Tamandua tetradactyla: one gene and its partner. The protein of the gene in region 1 interacts with the protein of each later gene in a biochemical or structural test. Links are inferred from orthologs where the notes say so. Each region holds a gene or a part of one and is shown on either strand. Other genes may lie near its edges.

Region 1 (7,711 bases):
GGGCAGCTCCAGTGAAGGTCTTCAACAAGCTCCTTAGGAGAGTCTGGCTGGCTCAAGCGGAAAGAGATTCTCTCTCTGAATTCTCTTCTAAAGACTTCAGGTGATTAGATTAATTGTCACTCGTTGCAGAAGACACTCCCCTTAGCCAACTACAGATGTACCAGCCATGGATGCAACCAACTTGCTCGTGGTTCAAGTCCATGAACGTCCTCCCAACCACAGACAGGCCAATGCTTGCTTGACCGAACAACAGGGTACCATCACCTGACCGAGACGGCACATGAACCTAATCATCACGATGAATAAACGGTTTTCCGTATAGGACCCTGCTTTAGTCTGCAAGCTGCCAGAACGCAATATACCAGAAATGGAACAGTTTTGTAAATGGGGAATTTAATAAGTTACAAGTTTATAGTTCTAAGGCCATGAAATAATCCAAATTAAGTCAAGGGAGAGTATCCAAATTAAGGCATCCAGGGAAAGATACCCTGGTTTAAGAAGGCTGATGATATTTCAAGTTTCTCTTTCAACTGGAAAGGCACATGGTGATGCCTGCTAGCTTTCTCTCCTGGCTTCTCCAACAGCTTCCCGGGAGCATTTTCTTTCCTCATATCCAACAGTCTCTGGCTGTGTGGGCTCTGTTGGTTCTGGCGGCTCTAAAGCTTTCTTCCAAAATGGTTCCCTCTTAAAGGGCTCCAGTAAGCAACCCCACCTTGAATAGGTGGAGACACATCTCCATGGAAACCATCTAATCAAAAGTTACCACCCACAATTGGGTGGGTCACATCTCCATGGAAACAGTCAAAAAAGACCCCACCCAGCATTACTGAATGAAGATTGAAGGACAAGGCTTTTCTGCAGTACACAACAGATTCAAATGGCACAGTCCCTTAGATTTAAATCAACAGCCATGGAAAGCAAAAGTCATTATCAGCCAAGAAATAAAGATATCTGTAAATAATCACGCATTTTCCTTACTGCTAGGACCCAACCTGCAAGTTTGTGAAAACTTTAAATTGTACCTACCACTTTTATTTTCCTGCAGGCATCCTAATTCCTGAACTAAAACATCTGATTTGCCAAGCCCTCCAGCAACAAAATGCCCGGCTGGGTTCAAGCCTTGACCTGGCCAGGTGCAGACGACAGCAGGAGGGGACTGTGTCCTGGAGCCCTCGGGCTGGTTTCTACCCACTTCCAGCTACCTCAGGAATTACACTCTCAGCCTCAATGTTCCCACCTGTTAAGTGACACTGGAGGCAGAAACGAGAAATAAACTAAAAATGTAGCTAAGGGATGGGGCACGAAGCCCAGGAGGCTGTCTGTGCCTCCACTGCACCTGCCCTCCAGGAGCACGTATGCACATATGCTGTGCCAGGGCGCCTGAGCAGGGCAAACGCTCCTGCCAGAAAAGTGAGTCAGCATCTAAAGCCACCTAGAGACAAGCCACCCCCAATTCACCTTCCACACTGCTGAGTATAAAAATTAGCTCGAAGGTGTTTGTGGTGAAGCAACAGGAAGCTGGAAAATAGTGCATATTAAGCAGCTCATGAGAAATGAGTCGCAAAATCTTAACAAAAAAACAAGAATGGACATTTGGAAAGAGCTTGCATGTGGCTGTAGGGCTTTCAGGCCAACAGCGAGATGGAAAGAAACTGAGCCACAGACCCCTTCCTTCCGAGTCCTCCACCCACACCCACTTTAAGGTGCCCGTACCCTTGGCACAGGAAAAGGACTTGTTGCCCTCCCAGCCACAACACAACGCTTCAGAAGTGACCGATCTGGCCGACTGCCAAGCAAAGGGGAGAGAGTGCGAGGCGGTAGCAGTCCAGCCCCCAGCAACCCCCAGCAACGTGCTCCCCATGCTGGGCTCCACACCCCCCACCCCACGCAGGAGCAGTCCACAAAGTACTCTGTGGTCTCGGGGCCCTACCCAGCAAGGTCTGCTCAGAGCAGACACTAATGGCCACCAGCAGCCCCCACAGGGAAAGAGAGGTTCTTTCCTTAGGATGATATTTGCTTGAATTCACTGTATCTTTCCAAGTGATTGTTCTTCCTGGAAATCGGTAAACTAAAGAAAAATGCTTACATTCTAATAACCCTAACTGCCCAGAGACCTCCTCTGGGCGAGGCACAGTCAGCAGTCCCTTGTCCTCGCATCGGCACGGTACAGGAAAATGACCGTCCCCACGTCGACACCGCAGAAATGAACAAGGACAAGGAGCGACTCCATGAAGGTCAGACCAGCAGGTCCTCAGGGCCAGACACACACCCATCCTGGGCAGGGCCGCAGTCCTTCAAAGGATTTATCAATCTCTCTAGCTGAGCTGGTAAATTAAAAACACAAAAGCACATTAAATATTATATGGCACACACGCCATTCAGAAATCTTGTGGAAAAAACTGACATAAAGTATATACAAGCAATGAACGTATATTTAATTCAACTCCCTGCTACTTCCCACTGGCTGCAGCTCGCCCACACCATCAGCTGAATACCCTCCCCAGGCGCACGGCCGGGGGACGGGCCGCACGTCTGGAGGGCAGGGCGGCGGCTGCCACTGTCCTTGTTCACTGGGCGTCAGGACGCCACCCCCAGCACTGTCGCACGGCGGAGCTGGGGAGAGACACAGTTCCTTCCCACAGGTTTCCTTCTTATCACGCACAGATGTCTTCCAGGTAAATAAAATGCCATTTTATTTCGTTTAAACTCATTTACTCAATACGCATTATCAGGACCCGAGTAGGATCCCCTTAGGGTTGAGAACCCAGGAGGACAGAGGCCAGGCCCGCGGAGGGCACACACAGGGGCACGGCGGCCTCGCACCTGCATTCAAACTCCAGAGATGACCACCCAGACTCGGCATCCCCACCGGAACCAGTCCGGGCCAATCTCCTGCACAAACGTCTCCAGAAACTAGTGTCATGAGGTGGTCCAGAGGTCCCCCCATCACCCTCAGTAGGCTGCAGGGTCCCTTGCCTTTCCCATCCCGCTAGGGAGAGACACCAGACTCACCGTCCCAAGACCACAGCTGGGAGACACCAGCTAACTCCTAGCGGCTCCTCCTCACCCAGCCCGCTGCCCACGGCCAGGGCGACACTCTCCTGCACCCTACCCCCACTTCATGGCCCTGCTCTCACCTACAGACACCCTAGTGCAGGCTCCTGCAAGGTAGAAATGTGCATGCGAGGTATCTGCATCATTACCATGTATCGCAAGAATGCCACAGCACACCCTCCTCCCGCCAACAGAACCAACTCCCCTGGGTCCTCTGAATAGCTGGTGCACAATCTGTAGAAATCACTCTTGTGTATTTGTTTTATACAATATGGATATACTGTACAAATCACAACTCCCCCAAATCAAGATGAACTAAACCTTACCACTGTTTCTTTTATGATCGCTGTTATACACCACAAACCTGAATGTCTAAAAATACAGCGATTACCCTGTGGAGTGTTCTATTTTCATCTTCTAAAAATGGAGCTACCGACAGCAGAAGCAATCTGCTGTTAGATGTCAACCACGCTTCACGCCATTGGCAGGATGTGCATGTCTGCCCTTCTAGACTGTTCAGCTGTGGTCTCGCCACGATGGAGCCCGAGGCACCTGGAGAGGCAGCACCGAGGCTCTGCCGGGGGCCAGGGGGCCTGGGAGCCAGGTGCCCTCTAGAGGCCCCTCTACGTCCCCAAATGACCTAATGCAGCAGGGGCCTCATTTCCCACATCTCTAGGACAGGGGGGCTCCTACTGCCCCCCTCTCGGGGCAGAGTTCCAACGGGCCCCCATGGAGGCCCCTGGCTGACGCTGGGCACGCAGCAGGGGCTGACAAGCTGCATCGCCGGGCGCCACGGGAGGCAAAGCTCTGCCACGCAGTGTCTGAGTGTGCAGCACGGCCAGCTTGGCTGCCAGAGAAGCATCTCCCAGATCTGAGAGGGACATGAAAGCGGGAGAGCAGCAGCACGGAGGAAAGAGCAGAGCAGCGAAGAAGCTTCCACCCCAGAGTGCGGATGACGGCGTATCCTGCTGAATCTCCTTGCCAAAGACAGATGGGGCTGCGTCCATCCTTCTCCAGAGGACTGGGTCTTGTCTTAATGCCAATCTAGAAAGCAGCAGACTATACCCAAAGACCCATACATTAAAAATATGGTTTTCTGAAACAGCTTTCTCTAATTTTTGCAAGTCTCCTCACTATGAGAACAGAAATATCAAAAATTGTAGACTGAAATCCCTAGCTCATCTAAACCATGCTCTACTTTTTGTAATGGAGTTAATTTTTGATTCTCAGTGTAGAAGTAACAGAGCCACCTCTCCCCCGACCGGCTCGCACGCGCCCTCACGATCCAGCTCGACCTCAAGGGGCACACCACCAGGCAATGCTCCCTCCCCCAGGACCCGCGACACAGCGCCCTGGGCCCTGGGCACCCAGCCGGCTGTGCTCCTGCACCCCACTTCCCCAGGTCGCCTCCTGCACACAGGCCCCGCAGAGAGGAGCTGCAGCGCCACAAAAGGGGCTTCCAACGCACAGGTCACCCACTTCCTGGACAGCACTGATCTCGCGGCATGGCTTCCTCCTCTCATAAGCTACTGCAATCCTTCAGCAGCTCGGAACAGATTCGTTTCCTATAATTCCATCCACAACCAAGACGCTAAAACATGTACCACTACAAAGGATTGCCAATAACACGCAAAATCAACGGGCAAGGGGAAACTGTAGAAATCACACCAAAACAGAACAGAGACGCAGCTTTCTTCACCTGAAACCAATCCACAGGGCTGTCCACCTCTGGACGGATGGCACCTGCGACGTGGGACCCACAGGCCCTCTGTGGCCAAGGCGGGCGCTGTGCTGTGGCGGCTCACACTTAAGTGTCCACAACAGAAAGGAGAGCAAGCTTTTTTTTTTTTTTACTGCTTGAAAAAACATCTAGAAAGATTCACTACTCAAATTATTTGGCAAGTGTGTTATCTTTAGTTTTGCTTTCACTTTTTTATAATGCAGTTTTATTGAGATACATCATATATTCAGATGCCATATAATCACCCACACTGTACAATCAGTGGCTCACAGTATCATCGTATAGGTCGACTGCTGAATAGACTTTCACTTTTTAAAAAATTTTTATTAATAAAACCAATCAACACACAATATGAACATTCTTTTTTTATCACATAGTTGCACATTCATCATCATGATCATCTCTTAGAACATTTGCATCAATTCAGAAATAAATATAAAAAGAAAACAGAAAAAAAATTTATACATACCATACCCCTTGCCCCTCCCTTTCACTGATCATTAGCATTTCAATTTACTAAATTTATTTTAACATCTGTTCCCCCATTATTTATTTATTTTTAATCCATATGTTTTACTCATAAGGTAAATAAAAGAAGCATCAGACATAAGGTTTTCACAATCACACATTGCGAAAGCTGTATCATTATACAATCACCTTCAAGAAACATGGCTGCTCTACATTTTCAGGCAGTTCAAAGGGCAAGCTTTGAGCTCAACTGCAACTACAAGGAAAGAGGAGAGGGAGCACATCGGTGTCAGATGCGTGCTCCTCATACGGACAGTCTGAACTAAGAGGCACCTGCAGCCCAAGATCCAGTTTCATACATTAGAAGACACACATCCTACTGATGGCCAAACACCAAGTTAAGCAGTAGACAGAGCTAATTAGAACCTCAGGTTCCTGAAATCTGCTCAATGCCCCACACCTCCCACTCCAAGAATACAGAAATTATGATTAGAATACAGAATATAATCCCCACACCTCACTTTCCACACAGAGTTCAGCTCAAAAGAAAGAGAAGATTCTGGTTACCAATGGGTGCTCTAAGCAAGTTTGCTGAAGTCCAGCTGCCTATCTGGGATAGAGGCTTCAGAACAGAGGGCTGAAAGGACCTTACTGGGTAGCAGATGTTGCCTTGGGCACGCCATGGGCAGAGAGCTGAAACTGAGGACGATGCATCAGGACAGAGCTCTCCAAGGGCCATCCAATCTAGGAAAGGGGGACTGGAAACCCACCTGTTAGGCCAAGAAGGAGCTGTGAAGAACCTGCTGTGAGAAGCAGACTCCCCTACGACCATGCCTTTATGGAAGGAGCCTCCAAATTCATGTCCTATTCATGCAATCTCAGGTCTAGAAATTAAGAAATAAGACTAGGCCAGAACTTGGGAAACCTGGGGTCCACAGGAAAACAAAACAAAAAGGTTCTACAATCCAGGGCATCAATAATTCCAGGGCACATGAGACACCCAAAGAAGGAGGGAAAAAAGGGGAAAAGAGAAAACTTCCTCTTGAAGACAAATTTACAATAAAAATCTAAAATTACAAATGACACACAGTAACGAGGAGAGAATCAGCAAGCACAACAAAACAGAGAAAGGACTCCACAATATCCACAGAGAACAAAACAATATGGAAAAAACTAATACATGCATGTTTTTAAAAAGCAAGAAGTTATATGAAGGAAAAGCCTATAATGTAAGAAAGAAACCATGGAAAAAGAAATGGACTTTTTTTTTTTAATAACGAATTTTCTAAAATTGAAAAGTAGAGCCACTGGGCGGCCCACACAAGCTCAGCAGGCCATGGCAGAGACCTGGGTTCGATTCCCAGTGCCTACCCATGCAAAAATAAAAAAACATAGAGCCACTGAAAATAGCTGATTGGGCATAGCTAGAGACAGAACACTGAATTGGTAGATAGATCTGAATCACCAGAATACATTATAAAAAGGTAAGGAGGGCGGGCCATGGTGGCTCAGTGGCAAGATTTCACTTGCATGCCAGAGTGCCAGAGACCTGAGTTCGATTCCCAGGGCCTGCCCATGTAAAAAAAAAAAAAAAAAAAAAGGGTAAGGAGAAAAGCAGCTTGAGTAAAACAGTGTGATGGCCCAACAAATACCGAGCATGAACTCAAGGAGTAAAGAATGGAAATCATGGAAAAGAAGTACTATTCAAAGAGATAATGAATCAAGAATATTCCATAATTCCAGAAAGATAAGAGTTAGGTTTAAAAAGCATGCTACTGTATGGGCACTTGCTTTCTTATCTCTTCGTTACCTAGAAGTAGAACATTTAGATCACATGGGAGGTGTGCGTCTAACTTTTTAAGAAACTGATGAATGGTTTTCCAACGCAACTGTATCATTTTACAGTCTCGCCCACTGTACATGAAAGCTCCAGTTCTTTCACATCTTTGCCAACAATTGGTACAATTTTTTTTCCATTTTAGCCATTTCCTCAAGCCTAGGGTTTATATTCTCCTAAAAGTATTGATCCAAAAGCAGAGGCTTTAACTTTAAGCTCAACTTTTCACTTTGTCGTTTTATACACCAGGCATTTGTTAATGTATCTAAAAAAATCTTTGCCTAACATAGGAATAAATATTTGTGACCCTATTTCATTCTAGAAGATTCATACTTTAAAGTTTTACAGTTAGGTCTATAACCCATATAATTAAATCGGTATGGTAATAAAAATGAAAAAAGAAGGATAAACCAGTACAAATCCACAAGTAGACACATCCCAATAAAACGTCAGACACCAAACATGGGGAAAAAATCTGAAAACCTCCTAGACAAAAAAGACCCTAAGAAACAAAACCTACACCAAGATCTAACTTCTCATCAGCAATAACAGCACAAAACGCCAAAGGACAATAAAAGAACTTCACACTGCAAAGAAAAATTTAGTATCCT
Region 2 (7,614 bases), on another chromosome or scaffold:
GTTTACACTACAGCATTTTGTACATTTTCATTTCATAAAACCATATATTCCCATGGAAATACCTTAGGCATGTGCTCACAATAACTGGAATACCTAACATGAGTTTATAAGTGCTTTTGCTGGAGTTCGACAAACTAAATCACAGCGAGGGCCCGCCAAGATTTTTAATGATGTCAACAGCTATGTTGGAAGTATGAATTACCTCTGTGGCTATAAACTGCACGTGTAAAATACATTACATGTGTGTGAGAGAAACCTTAATGCAGGAGACCAAATAAAGGTCTTAACTGCACACAAACACGTCAAAATCAACCCAAACTCCCTAAAATACAGCAAACATGCTTCCTCCCAAAGCTGGTACTGTTAAATATGCTTTGATGAATTAAGTTCAAGTGTAACTGCAATTGAAATATATGATTCAACTGAGCTGTGACCTATTTTACCTCTGAAAAGTAAAAGGAAATTATGGCAGTTGTGAGACTTATATTTTTCCATTCCAAATCCTTCTGAAAGTTATTTCACACTGGAGCTGAAGGCAAAATGTACTTAGTGACATTTATTTGTTTTAAAATTAGTTATTTATGCTACTGCTCATAGGAAAGATAGAATTTTAATAACAATGTATTAAATAATAACAATCATATTCTTTCATTTACTTTTAAACCAGTACAAACCAAGAGTCATACAAGAAGGAAATAATCTCAATACATAAAATGATATCTAAATCTACAATTCAATTATAACTACATGACACATTTACATACAAGAGAACCAACAATCAACAGGACAAACAGAAAATTCACATATATAAATATGTGGTTGAAAATACCCACCCCTAGCAGAAAGCTTTTTGGTGTTGATAATTTTGGCAGCATATTCTTGGCCAGTAGGAATTTTCATACATCTTCTCACCACTGAGAATGCCCCCCTGAAAACCAATAATTAGCAGGTCATCAATATAATCAGCTCTGATACGCTATTAAAATACTATGACAACCTAATCATTTTTATTGATTTCAGTGAATTATCAAACATCAGTGCACTAGAGTAAGGTCCAGAAAAAGAACAATTCTGTCTGGAAACCCAGATCTTCTTCAATGTTTGAGAATAAAAGTGAATTTTATTTAACAAATTATTAATCAACAAAATGAAAAGAACTGCCAACAATGACGGCTCTTGTTTGCACATGAAATTTGAAAACATTTTACAATTCACACTCAGCACCAAATGCTCTGAGAAAATCCTGCAAAGAGCAGAGCTGAGAAGGAGCAGCAAAAATCTGCTGTCTTTTTATTTGGTAGGGGAAAAATTAATGTGGCTCCAAGCATATATGGCCATTACTTTCATTAAAATAAAAATCGTGAGCACATTTGTGTGGTTTAACAAAACCTGGTATGGTTATTTCACTATGCGCTGTTTGGGATTGGGGGAGGGGAGATATTTGAATTAAGCTGCTCTTCCGACATATTCTCCATGTTTCGACAGCAGACAATATATAGACATGATTCTCATTACATTTAAAAGATAGTTACAGGTCCTGTAATTCAACAGTATAAACCAGCAGCTTGGACACAAACACACCCCTTTCATAAGTAATAATCGAAACTAGGAAAAGAGGAATTGGGTTTGGGTTTGCTGCTACATAAATCAACAATCAGGGCTCGGCCCCTAGGTCCCTTCGCACAGGTCTTGGCTAGGTCTCCAGTACCCTTCCTTAACATCTACAAGCAGTTCTGCCAGCGGGTGCAGGGGGTCGTTTTATACTATGCTAGGCTACCCTTGGGAAGCGCTCCTCCAATCTACAGAGGGCTTTTCCGCTACCTGTACAAATAAATCCGCACAGAAAACGCGGAGATGCACAAGTATATACTAGAAAGGATGATGATATGCAAGTAATCTAGTGCAAAGAATAATTGATGATATCGGGTAGGGTGGTCGACTCCGTTGGGTGGCCCTTTTCCTGGACAGAACTACTGGATGCAAAATAGACTCTACGACAAGTTGAACTTTCGGCATCAATAAATATGGCACCGTCTGGGGCAGTGAGTTCTCATTCGTATGTGGGTTATACCGCCGACACGCCGGCTAACCCGGAGGGAGGCATCTCTATTTACACAAAACGTGATCTACATCGCATTTACATAGATTCTTGTTTCCTACACACACACGCACTTTTCAGGATGACAGCTACAACTGCAGAGGTCGTAAATTCACTAAGTCTCTGGGTTAAAGAGTAGGAGGGAGGGAGGGATTATCAGAAGGGGCCACAGCAGGGGTGGGGGTCTTTCCCCTCCCTTGCCCCAGTCCTCTTCTAAGGCAGCTGATAAAGCAGGAACCCCCCTCTTTCCCTGGTTTCCCAAACTCCCTCGCCCCACTCCGGAGGCCGACAGGTCAGGGGCAACGCCACCCGCCCTCTGCTGGAAAGGGGATGTGAGTATGCCGGGCAAAGGCGCTTACTTTCCGAGCTCCTCGAAAAGCTGATACTCGTCCGTGAACCTGGTGCAGGTTGTCGTCGAAGCCATCCTCGGTCCGGACTGTGCCCCTGGCTCGAAGGGCGGCGGACGAGACGCGAGCAGTCGCGCGGCTTCGCTGGGACTGGCCCTGCAACGCTGTCACCCAGGGCCGCCCTCACTTTTCTCGTCCGAAAGTAGCTCGCCCGGGAGGGAGTGTGCGCAGGGGCGGGGTGGGAGGGGAGATGACCAGAAAGGGCGGCGTGGGGTCTCCTCCTTACTGTCCGCCGATCCGCCTCCTCCTCCAAGCCTTGCTTCCTTCTTCTCTAGATGCTCCACCCGCCCTTACCAGCCCCTCTCCCCAAGTGCAGGGGGCAAAGTATTCAAGAAGACGGGGCCGAGATATGAAAAAAAGCAGCCGGGCATCGGGCGGGAGGCGAATACTTGCGAAAGGAGCCGCACCAGCGACGGGAGGGACAGAGGCGGCGGGGAAGGAACCCGAAGGGGGCGGGGGAGGTGCGAGGGGCCGAGGCCGCCGAGCGTGTAGCGGACAGCTTCGAGCCCAGCTGCAGCTGTCAGCGGGCGCGGGGCGCGCGGGGACTCAGCTGAGCGCGCGCTCCTGGCACCGACCTCCCTCCCGCGGGCAGCGGCCGCAAGGACTGGGCCCGGCACCTCCGCGTCCTCGCGCTCCCCAAGGAGCCCGCGCGGCTTGGCGACTGCGCGGGGAGAGAAAGAGTGCTCGGCTCAGGCTAAGCCTCTTCTGCCGTCCCCAGGCCTCCGCCTCCTCCTCCGGCCCCTCCTCCCGCCGCGCCCTCCGCCTGCCAGCACCCTCCCTCGCTGGTCCCACACCTCCCTCTAGCGACTCCAATCCTCTCCCTTCGTGGCTTTCTCCCTCCCTCCCTTGGCCTCCCGCACGCACACGCCCGTCTAGGGGAGAGTCCAAGGGGCAGGAGGAGGATGCGCGGGGGAAGAATCCCGGAGGGAGCTTAGGTGAACGAGGCCAGACATCAAAGGTACCCACTTAAACCCGCAGAAAGGCTCCTGCCCAAATCTGGGACTAAATTTAGCAGCAGGAGGCGGACGACTCGTGAACCGTCTGGGGGGGTCGTGGAAGCCCCCCAGCCCCGATGTGGGCGCCAGGCACGAGGGACAATGCGCCCCGGGCGGGAGAGCGAGCGGCGCTACCACTTGGCGCCGCTCCGTGTTGACACGGGGCCCGGGTGTGCGCAGCTGGCTGCTTCTAGAGAAGGTTCACCCGTCTCCCAAGTCAGGGTCGGGTCCCACGCCAGCGGAAGCCGCGCTCGCCGCAACGCCAGCTCCCAGGCGCCGGGCGCCGGGCTGCTCCCTCCCCCACAACCCCATTAGCGACGGCGACGCCGGCGGGTGCGCCACGTTTCACTCCTGATTTGACTGCAACCTCATCCTCCGCCTCCCCCGCCGTTTTCCAGATTGGGTTGCTCAGAATCTGGCAGTCCCCAAAGGCCTTTGCTTCGGCCATGAACGTTAACAGAATGAAAGCAAAAACCCTTCCACCGGGCCACACCTTCCCTTCCCTTCTCTTCGGAGTAAACTCCACTGTGAACCTCACTAATGCTGATAGTAAGACGAGTTCTCGCGCGATCTCCCGCTCCGCCGCGGGGGCGGGGAAATGGGAAGGCTGGGTGTCGGTCACGCGACCCATGGGGGCTGACGTCACTCTTATCACAGGAACCGCCGCTAGCCTGTTTCGCTTTGCGAAAGGAAAGAGGAAAAGAGGTCGTGGGTGCTTTGCTTGCAGGAGCAAAGATTTGGCCAAATAGTTGCACATGAGTGTAATTCCTAACGGTGTAACTGAAAAAACACTCAACTATTCAAGTATGTTCCTTACTCTATTAACATAGCCGTCATTGTATACAGTAAGAGGGAAAATAAGTATGCATTATATTTAAAATATGTAAGTTAATTGCTAGAACTACCCTTGGTCATCCCTATATCTTAAATAAATTAGAGCATTTCGAATTTAGAGGCAGAACAGAAACAAAGAAATTATGAATTGTCTTTTTCGAATTACTGCCTTTTGTTCATCAGAGGAGCCTTTTCAAATTATTGCCTTTTGTTCTTCAGCATGAGCCCTGAAAACCTTGCAGTTTTAATCCAGATTTGTTCATCCATAGAGTCGAAATTTCACAGCGGAGATGGACAGAAAAATATCATTTGCAGATATTGAGATTCTTAAGGCTTAAAGGGGTTGTGGCTTGTGCTCATGAACTAGGATTAATTGATTATCTTGTCTACTGTCACATATAATCCTAAAGTTCCCTAATTTTCTGATTTGGGCAATGCTATTCTGCCAATAATTGCAGTTTTATGGAAGTACTCAAAATGCTCATAATGTTTAATACTTTAACAAAACTGGTTTGTATGTAAATATTCTGTTACCCAGGTGTAAAAAGCAAGTATACTCCGAAGAAGATATACAAGTGGCCAATAAGTACATGAAAAGATGCTCAACATCATTAGCCATTAGGGAAATGCAAATCAAAATGATGAAATACTGCCTCTCACCCAGTAGAATGTCTGTTATTTTAAAAAAGGAGAGTAAATATTGGCAGGGATGCAGAGAAATGGAAACCCCGCTCCCCCACCCAGACATTGTATAATGGTATAGCCACTGTGGAATGTATAATGATATAGCAGCTGTGGAAAACAGTTTGGCAGTGCCTCAAAAACTTAAGTATAGAATTACCATATGACCCAGTAATCCCACTTCTAGGTATATACTCAAAGAAATTGAAAGCAGGGACTTGAAAAGAGTAGCATTATTCACAAAAGTAAAAGTAACCCAAGTGTCTATTGATACATGAATGGATAAACGTGGTATGTACATTGATGGACTAATATGTAGCTATAAAACAATAAAATTCTGAAACATGTAACAATATGGATGAACCTTGACGACATTATGTGGAATGAAATAAACCAGGCACAGAAGAGCAAATATTGTATGAACACAGTTATTTGGATAAAAGTAGAATATACAAATTTATAAAGACAAAAAAGATTACAGACTACCAAGGGCAGAAGTGGGTTTTGGAACACGGAATTAGTGATTAATGGGTACTGAGTTGCTGTTTGGGGTAATGGAAAAGTTTTGGTAATGGATGGTGATGGTAGCACAACAGAGAATATAATTAACACCACTGATCTGCATGTTTGAAAGTGGTTAAAATTGAAAATGGTATGTTGTAAATATGTTATCATCATTTATTTTAAGCAAGCGTAGCATTGTATAAGATGATCCTATAAAAGATGATATCCAAAGCTATATAGAGCAAAGAAATATGTTATCTAAATATTAATATTTGTTCTATAAAATTGTAAGGAAAAAAAGCAATTTGATCTAGGCAAAAGAGTTTTAGATTTTATTGTAAAAATTTAGCAATATGACTCCAAGTTATAATGTGATCATTTAATATATCATCTGAATCTAAAACTAAAACAAGAAAAGTGAAATTAAAACAATAAATATAAGTAATATAAAATTTTAACTCTGTGAGGAAAATTGTTTTTTAAATATTCAAGTAATGAAGTCTACATAATTACAGTATTTATCTCAGTTATTTAAACTACAGATAATTGCAAATGGTTATGATAATTGTGCAGTATAAAGAATATTAACTGAGTTTTAATACGAATATAGTATTAGACAGTAAGCACGTACATTTTTAAGCAAGCACTGTTTGCTTTATCTATATTTGTACTGAACCTTTATCTTAGATGAAAACATTTCTCTAATTTAAACAAATATATCAGCTATTTCTTGAGTCTGGACCTCTAAAAGACAGTAATCAAGTCAAAGGTTTTTGAGCTCTATTTCAATATAATTTCAGGAATAATGGCTAAAAGATAAAGTTAAATTAAAAAAAAATGTAGACCCATAAAGTAAAATAACAGTAGATGTTATATTTAATTCAGTTTAGTGAGTGCCACAATGTATATACATTTTATCATCCACTTAAACAGCTCCCATGAATAAAATGAGGAGGAACTTTAGGAAAGGAATACAAGGGGCCAAAACCCATATGATTATTTCATTGTTTGTTTAATTTGACTATCATTAATATGGAACCAGATTAGTATTTTCATTCATAAGATCCAATTTTATTAGTATAGAATCAGGTATTTCTTTCTAGACTCCAGTGTCTTAGAAGAGTTGAAGGAAAAATCTGAAATTGTGGAACCATGACCATATCAAACATTGAAGTCTCTTCTATAACTACTTGTTAAAATACTTTGAAATTTATTGGGGTTTTTTTGTATATTATGTTATGTTTCACAATAAAAAAAATATAGAATCAGAGACATTCAATGATTGCTATGTGCTTTGTTGAAATATTCTACAATGAACATATGATAATTTTATAAACTAAAATAGACAGACCTAATTTATAGAAGGTACAATATTTTAATTATAGTGCCTGAAATGATCTTTAACACGGATACTGTTATACCATCATTTAAGACCATAAACTCATAATAGTGATCATTCGCACTCTATTATTATTTTCAAGCTTCTCCTTATACCTTACATACAGTATAAAAAATTATTTCAGTATTAGCAATTAGAAAGTTAAATCTGCTTCACAAATTACTATTCCTTCTAGAATTATGCAGAAATGAATTTGGATTATGATCTTCTGTTGTTTCATTCAGTAGCCCCTTATCACTCTCATTTCTGGTTTTGTCCCCCTTCATTCCAGTCTCAGCACAACAGCCAGAATGATTTTCTTAAAACTTCAGTCAGATCAAATGCCTCTGATCCAAACCTTCTGAGGGGTTTCCATCTCAATTGGACTAAAAACCAAAGTTTTAAAAATGCCTACAAGACCCTAAGGGTTCTGTCCATCGCTATCACCCCATTACCCTCCTAAATTCATCTCCTGCTGTAGCTCACTCTGCTGCAGTCACACTCACCAACTTGGTGACCCTGAAACACACGCAGTATGCTTCTGATTAGGGAATTTGTACTTGCTGTTTCATTCTGCCTGGAATGTTCTTTTCTTAGTTATCCTCCTTTCTCTTTCCCTGACCTCCTTCCCATCTTTTCTCAACTGTCACCTTATCAGTGAGGCCTTCCCTTCAGTTATTGCACCTCTCACAGTTTCTATTCCCATCCTCTGCTTTG

The links. The genes of interacting proteins can lie anywhere in the genome.
Region 2: of the proteins of HDAC4 (region 1) and CAMK2D, one has a biochemical effect on the other in vitro, tested with the Homo sapiens proteins (2 studies listed by BioGRID, with this or other methods). The link is inferred for Tamandua tetradactyla from reciprocal best matches to the Homo sapiens genes HDAC4 and CAMK2D.

The regions. Positions count from the first base shown.
Region 1 is NC_135329.1:216,321,065-216,328,775, forward strand, and holds the start of HDAC4 (histone deacetylase 4), read right to left. Parts: upstream 3,002-7,711; 5' UTR 2,274-3,001; coding exon 2,087-2,273; intron 1-2,086. UniProt on the Homo sapiens protein: Responsible for the deacetylation of lysine residues on the N-terminal part of the core histones (H2A, H2B, H3 and H4).
Region 2 is NC_135350.1:8,363,028-8,370,641, reverse strand, and holds the start of CAMK2D (calcium/calmodulin-dependent protein kinase type II subunit delta), read right to left. Parts: upstream 3,016-7,614; 5' UTR 2,523-3,015; coding exon 2,458-2,522; intron 929-2,457; coding exon 834-928; intron 1-833. UniProt on the Homo sapiens protein: Calcium/calmodulin-dependent protein kinase involved in the regulation of Ca(2+) homeostatis and excitation-contraction coupling (ECC) in heart by targeting ion channels, transporters and accessory proteins involved in Ca(2+) influx into the myocyte, Ca(2+) release from the sarcoplasmic reticulum (SR), SR Ca(2+) uptake and Na(+) and K(+) channel transport.